Linked DNA regions of Oryzias latipes. The protein of the gene in region 1 interacts with the protein of each later gene in a pairwise test. Links are inferred from orthologs where the notes say so. Each region holds a gene or a part of one and is shown in the gene's direction. Other genes may lie near its edges.

What was found.
Region 2: the proteins of cep72 (region 1) and pin4 interact in binary tests that used the Homo sapiens proteins (3 or more experiments, as listed by UniProt). The two-hybrid records come from large-scale screens. The link is inferred for Oryzias latipes from reciprocal best matches to the Homo sapiens genes CEP72 and PIN4.

Annotation. Positions count from the first base shown.
Region 1 is NC_019874.2:16,684,562-16,688,315, reverse strand, and holds the start of cep72 (centrosomal protein of 72 kDa), read left to right. Parts: upstream 1-817; 5' UTR 818-909; coding exon 910-985; intron 986-1,135; coding exon 1,136-1,263; intron 1,264-1,443; coding exon 1,444-1,636; intron 1,637-1,718; coding exon 1,719-1,827; intron 1,828-2,155; coding exon 2,156-2,307; intron 2,308-2,384; coding exon 2,385-2,443; intron 2,444-2,525; coding exon 2,526-2,568; intron 2,569-2,930; coding exon 2,931-3,131; intron 3,132-3,386; coding exon 3,387-3,568; intron 3,569-3,683; coding exon 3,684-3,754. Other genes in the region: uncharacterized protein LOC101162471, read right to left, coding at 225-308. UniProt on the Homo sapiens protein: Involved in the recruitment of key centrosomal proteins to the centrosome.
Region 2 is NC_019868.2:20,374,614-20,378,367, reverse strand, and holds the start of pin4 (peptidyl-prolyl cis-trans isomerase NIMA-interacting 4), read left to right. Parts: upstream 1-1,580; 5' UTR 1,581-1,688; coding exon 1,689-1,725; intron 1,726-1,934; coding exon 1,935-2,002; intron 2,003-3,754.

The DNA of each region.
Region 1 (3,754 bases):
GAACATGAGATTATAGTCTGTTTAATATATTGAGAATTTGTGACCATACTCTTAAAGGGAAAACATAAACACACTGATGTTGACGAAGGCAAGCATAATCAATTTTATAAAAGATTACTTTTTAGTAGCTGGTGTATTATAAAAAAAAGCCTCATCTTTATTGAAGTATACTCTGTTTATCAAAAAGCATTCTACAAGTTTTAAATATAAAATAAGAGACGAACCTTGAAGAGTTTGCGTGAAAAGTATAAAGCTGTGGTGGACAGAATGATGTTACTACAACATGCCATCCACTCTGTTGACGCCATTCAGGAAAGCGCGCCGGAACACAAACCTGCAAACACACCGGAACTAAAGTGACAATATTTTTACTTAAAGTTCAAATGAAACTACTGACGCTGCCCCTTTTTATAACTGGACTGAACAGAAAGACTAAACTTTGGGGCAAGGAGGAGCAGAACAATGTTTGTGTTCACACGTGACAGAATGTCTTCAGAGCACTGCGCATGCTCCAAAGGAGGCGTTCAAAGTCCCTTGTAAATTCTGAGACGTTGTCAACCATATTAATAATGATCAAACTAGCAAAGATCGGTTAACACTTTTTGTTAAACGTTATTTATTCTTGTTTTATTGGAAATATAATTCTTTGTTTAAAAAAAACATTTTAGGTTCTGTCGAGTAAACGAGTAAATCGTTATTTTTAGGTCGCTGTTAACTACTAAAAAGTTACCATTTTAAAGAGGGTTTTGTGTTAGTGTGTGACATACTCATGCGACAGAGTATTTAACTGAATTTTTTCCTCATAAATTTAAAACTTTACTCCGTTGCACACTGACTGTGTTATTTTTGTTTCTTTCATTGAAGTCGTTTTTTCACGACAGCACTTGAAGGCAGCAAAGTTTGAAAAGTATGGCGACGGAGTGTCTAACAACAATCTCAGAGCAATGGATACGCGACAGATTACAACTAAAACATCCGTGTCTCGGTAAGAGTTTCATTCACCTGTGCATTGGAAAAACAAAAACCCCGCGTAAAACATTTTTTCTGTCTGACTGAAAGCAGATTAGCTATTCAAAGCTATTTTATGATGAACCGTCATCTTTTGGTCATTCATTGTTGTGTGTTTGATGCGCAGGTGATGTCCGGTCACTGAGCCTCCCAGGAACGTTAGAGGAGAAGATTGGACATCTAGGGAACGCTCTGAATAACTTCATTCGCCTGAAGTCTCTGGATCTTTCCTACAACGCCCTGGTTTCTGTGGAGGTTTGATATTTTTAATTTTTCTTATATTAAGAAAATACTTTATACTATAAAAAAAAGTCTCTTCAGAATTTATATTAAACTGATTTCAAATCACAGTCATTTTTTTTATTTTATTTCATGTGACTATTATTTCCATTGTTGGATGAATGCTTACAAATCTGGTTCCTGTTCTTTCTTTAGGGGCTGCAGCATTTAAAAAAACTGGAGAGGTTGATTCTTTATCATAACTGCATACCATCTCTTGAAGAGGTGAAAACTCTGTTCCAGCTTCCTGTTTTAAGAGAGCTGGACCTCAGGCTCAACCCTCTCACCAAAAACTGCCCACACTACTGGGCTTATATCGTGCACGCCTTGCCCAGCTTGCGAAAGCTTGGTAAGCTGGAGTCATCTGGGCCTGTTTTTGTGACTGTTTTCTGTCAAGTTCCCGACATCGTAATGAGCTTTTGGGTTTGCAGACAGCTGCTCGGTCAGAGAGACGGAACGCAAAGTTGCCATCATGCAGTTCTCCTCTGATCTTCCTCCTCAGCAGAAGAGATGCTCTCTGAATCTGGCTGAAGATCAAAGGTACGCCGAGCACAAAATCAGTTTAATGCACAAAACCTTCTTAATGCAGGCTTTAAACACCAATCTGGTCTAAATTCAGAAACTGTATGGAGCTCAGATGATGGAAATCCAGCGGTATATTATAAAGCTGCAATACACACACTTTTATCTCAAGGTTTTTTTCATCTTGTTTCATCCTTTTGTAATAAATCTATTCGTTAATTTCCATCAAACCTGCTTTCTTAAACTAGCTTGTTATTGAAGCCTGGAAGCATCAAATATGTGGTTTTTAATGTATATTTCAACCTTTTAATTAGTTATTTCTCTGTTCTGTGCCTGTTGCTGTCAGAAGCAGCAGGTTTCGTCTGGCTTTGGTCGACCGTTTGACCAAGAGGCTGTCACTCTCAGCAGAAAGTCAGGATATTGTGTTAAACAGAGTCGAGGCTGACCTTGGAGACCAATCTAAAAGAGTCAGCGACTCCGTTTACAGGAAAGGAGAAGGTAAGGACCCTTAAAGGTAATTTTTAATCACACCAAACCTGCTGACGTTCTTTCTTCACGTTGAAACCTTATTCTAGAACCCAAGGAGGAAATATTACAAAATTTCACAGAGAAGAAGAGTTCAACTCCAAAACAGGTGACTTTCTTTTTCTCCATGTCTGATTAAAAAAAAATAGTCACCCTATGCTTGCATGAATGACGGCACCCTTTGCTTGTAGGAATCTACTAAATCCATCCTCAGATATTCACCCAATATCAATGGTAAGTGTGTTTTTGGGTATTTATTTAATGATTTAATTATCTGTGTGTATATCAGAGCACTAGTAAGCAGATGGATTGCAGCAGTTGCTAAAGCAGCTAAAATGTATTTAAGTTGGTCTGAATAAGAGATTTTGTAAACCAATTCATAATGCATCATATTTTTCCCTAACATTTAAGGAAACAGTTCATGGCAATAAAAAGAGATTTTTGGTGGTGTTTGCCTCATTGTTGACTAACTATAATATTTTCAATTGTTTAAGCAGAAACATAAATGTCCACCAGGGAGAGCTAGATGTCAACTCCATAAAAATGTCTGACACTAAAAGATGAAAACATATTTGTGCCTTTCTGTGAATTTACAGATGTTGTTGTATCCAGAGGGCTACAGATGAAGGAGACACCTCCAATGAAAAACTCTACCTCATCTAAAGTAGCTGAAAGGCCTAAAGTGTCCTTCGGTCCTTTTGTAGAGAAACACAGTGCAGACAGAGGACTTCCAAACCAGAAGCTGTCCTTTAAACAAATCAGACACGAAGCTAAGGGCCATTTTACTCCAAACCCTGGTTATATATATATATATATATATATATATATATATATATATATATATATATATATATATATATATATATATATATATATATATATATATATATATATATATATATATATATATATATATATATATATATATATATATATATATATATATATATTTATTTATATTGTGTATTTAACAACTGCTATTTATTGTGGAATTTTGCCAAAGTTCACATTCCTCACTTCCTTGGAACTCTGAATGTACATGACTTTTTCAGATCAAAGCCAGTGTCGTAGCACCTCATTGATCAACATCCGTCCTGCCAGTCCACTGCAACCCGGTTTGACTCTGTCTGAGTCCTCTAACCCCATCTTACACCCTGCAAGACTCACCTACTCTAGCATCAACACGGCAGACGGGAGCAGCAGCCTGAAACAACAAGCTGGAAGGAAAAAAAGGGTTAACATTCAGTTCAGCTCTCCGACTGATTTATACTCTAAATCATAAACCTTTCTTTATTTATGCAAGGATCTTTTTATAGAAAACTTACAGCCTCTGCGAATTCCATTCTCAGGGTACTTACCGGAAGCCCCTGGAGATGCTTCTGAACCTCGTTGACAAACACTGGAGGGGCGAGAGGTCACT
Region 2 (3,754 bases), on another chromosome or scaffold:
ACGTCATCAGTAAGTATTGATTGTTCGAGCCGGTCTGAGTCAGCACTTCTATGGCAACCACTCTCGCCAAACAGGAGTTTCCCCTAACACTCAAAAGTGGGCTCGGGAAAATCTGTAAATCAAAAGTTGCATCTGATTGGTCAGTGTATAACTTGAATAACTTGCAATTAAAAAAATATATAACGAAAGAAAATAGGATGGGCAAAAACATGTTTAAAAAATGTATCAGAACAAGAATGGTCATTCTGACCAATAGAATGACTGAGTAACAGCTATTTATTTCTCAATAGAAGGCTATGAGATTTTGGCTTCTTGGAGCCAGCAGGTACTTCCTGTTGGGGGGTTGTTCATTCAGTCTAGTTCTCAGTCAATGTTTATCATAGATCATCAACGTATTTTAGAAAATCTTTCTTTGCTGCCCTGCTGCACGTCATATATTTAATCATGAAGAACTAGTGTGATAAAAAGGCAATGATTGTGAAGCACAGGTATTTTCATTTTTATTTGTCAATTATTCTTTGGTCCTGGTTTTTATGAAACATGTTTATTTCAAGACAAAAAAAATCTAAAATATTTCCCCTGGTAGGAATTATGCAATTGGGCAAAAGTGACTGCAAGAAAAAAAAATTTGTTCCAGTAAAATATGGTTTAGGTTACTCACTGCATTGTTTCTTTTCATTGTTTCCTATCATCTGCTTGTTTTTTTTAATAATAGTTTTTCATCATCATTGCTTCCTTCGGATAGTGAATGACTGCAGGAAGACAGAGGAGGGCATCAATGTGTCATCGAGCAATGCCCCAATCAATGAGACTACATGTGTGAAACACTTGGTGGTCTGTGAGTGTGTGCTAGACAGTGTGGTTTTTACGGCACTGTCACTAACGCTTGAGTGTGTATGTGCGGGCTTGACAATTCTGTGAACCAAAACAGTAGAATATTGATATTAATAAAGGAAAGGAACTCTGACATCAACGTTTTTTTTAAAGATGGGGAACCACTGTTTTTAATCACTGTGTGCAGTGAGAGACTGTCAGGTGTGCCACGGGAAAGGATTCAGTTTCACATAATTGGTCTAAAAAAGATTTACCAGTGTCAGAAAATTATCTTTGTCTTTATCCAAACAGGTTCAGAGTTTAAAAGAATAATGAAAGATTACAAGATACTTATTTTCTTCATGTTTATTTGATTCTTATTCAAGATTATTTTATCAGAAGATTTGTATCCCGTTAATACAGACTAAAGAGTTTATTTTACTATCCATTTTCAGTTGGTGGTGTGCTTTGTGATTTTTTATCAGGGAAACAGTGGACCTTGGCTGAAAAAAAAAAAGAGTTAAAAAAGCACTGAACTACAGAAGACTTTGGGGGGATTTGTTTTTTTTTTTTTTTGGGGGGGGATTTGTTGACACACAGTAGTATATTTAAACACTAGTGGTAAAATATTCCCTGTTTTCCTGACAGTAAATGGATTTTCCTGATCAAGAGGATTTTGTTCCCTGCTTCAACCACTAAGCTGCTGCAATTCTGAATTTGGCCACCAGGGGGCAGGGCTAAAACTTGATCGTTGCGATTTTCAACTAATATACCAAAAGAAGAAGGAAATCATGCTATCATAACATAGCATGAGTGTACGCTGCTATCAGTTATTCAGGTTCTTTACTGGGTAATTCTGTTCTGTTTTATGTAAAATGCCGCCAAAAGGGAAAGGTGGTAAGGGTGGTAAAGGTTAGTCGTTCGTAATAAATCCCAAATTATTTTGATGTTTGAAAGCCCGCATGTTTTATACAGCATTAATTTGTAACCCAATCTTTCTTTCGTCTTGTATTTATTATTAACAATAAGGCTTTCCGGTTGCTTCTTCTGAAAGTGATTCATGAGTGATAGTGATAGTGTCAACTCGCTGTTTTCATGTTCTGGTGATGTATTCTGTGTAGGAGCTGCTGCAGGAAGTGCAGATGCCGAAAAGAAAGATAAGGCTCCCAAGGGTGGTACTTCTGTGAAGGTAAGCAGAACCTCAGACTCAGTCAAATCAGGGGCCTGTTTCAGAAAGGAGGTTCAACCAACTCTGAGGTTGAACTTGAACTCCGAGTTGGTCAATCGGGAGATTAACAACTCTGAGTTTTCTGTTTCAGAGAAGCTGATCCGAGTTAGATCAATCAACTCTGAGTGGACTGATTCGGAGTTAAGCGTGCGCACCGCGTCTATAAGAAGCCATTATCAATGGAGCGCAGATATCACGAGTCACCATGGCAACCGTGAAAAAAAGAGGTCTGCGTATTTTTCGCCAGCTGAACTTGACGTGCTGCTGCAGAGTTACAGTGAATATGAGCACATATTATTCCAGAAGAAAAGCAACACCGCTGCATCTGCAAAACAGAGACAGTTAGCGTGGGAAAACATAGCTGCTCAAGTTAATGCCTAAGTTTGCATTTAAATCATTGTCATAAAATATTGACTGTAATAATTTTTTAAATAGCGTACGGTGTGAAATAAAAAATGGGGATATTTAGGTGTACTTTTGAAGTGTTATTCCTGGTGTAATTGCATGAAATGCTGCATAGTGTACAGAACCAATCTGGGGGAAAAATGCATTTAATGTCGGTAATGTTTAGAGGACTTTCTTGTTAACCTCACCCTCTTGCAAACGTTGGTCAGTTTAATATTAATACATGCAATTGTGTTTTTAAAAGTGAACTTTTGTCTACTGTTGAACCTTTCGCTGCGCGAAGACTTCTCCTTTCTTTTCTCTCGTCTTTCCGACCGACCGTGCGAAGGGAATTCTCCTTCGGGGTTCACTTCCCGTTGGAAACCCTCAACCTCCAGAGCGGATTAAGAATGACTCCAAAACAGTTATTCTGGGAATGACACCTTCTCTTTATTTAACTAAGTGCTCCGTCCTCCGAACACACAATATATCCCACGCACACACCTCCGCTCCGTGCCCCCCCCCCCCCCCCCCCATCTGCACCTGCAATCGCCCCTCCCCCTGTCTATCGTGGATCGCACCCCGCTCAGCACACACACACTGCAACACTACCCTTGTATTGATCAAGTGGTATAGGTTTATACGGGATTAAGAAAGTAAGCAGTGCTAGCAAATTGTGTTTCCAAAAAGTAATTGTTACATTAATCTAATTCAATGTCCCTGATTTCATTTTCATGTAGATGCAATCCTGCAGGAATTAAAAGAACATGGCAGCAGCTAAAAATGAGGTATAAAAACATAAATCAATCAGGTCAAATTTGAGCATGTCATTGATGTAGGCTTTGTTGACAATATTTGACATATGAAACATCTACATAGCAATACCTAATGTTGTTTTCATTGTATATGTGGAATTGACTGCAATGAAAAACGGTAACGCTCAAACAAAAACGTATGGGGAAATGACAAAAAATCGAGTCATCTCAAAATCCTCGTACAAGGTAAATATAATTCTCTACGAATTGATGCAGCCTCCTCGTCTATTGGGTCCTCCAAAAAAGAACAAGCCATTCTTGTCACGTAGACCGTCTCTGTGTGACGGAAATTTGGGCAATGAAGGTTAAAGCGAAACATACCGCTTCGTCTTTAAAAAGGGGAGGGGACCGGCAGAAACTTCGAGTTTGGAGAATAAAACCTGCTCCCGACCAGGTTAGGTTCACAGCGTAAGTAACCATGGACACTGACTCCGAGTAGAAGTTACCTCTCTTTCAGAAACGGGTTTGACTTACTCTGCTTTCTCTGGTTTAACAAACCTCCCATTCTGAAACG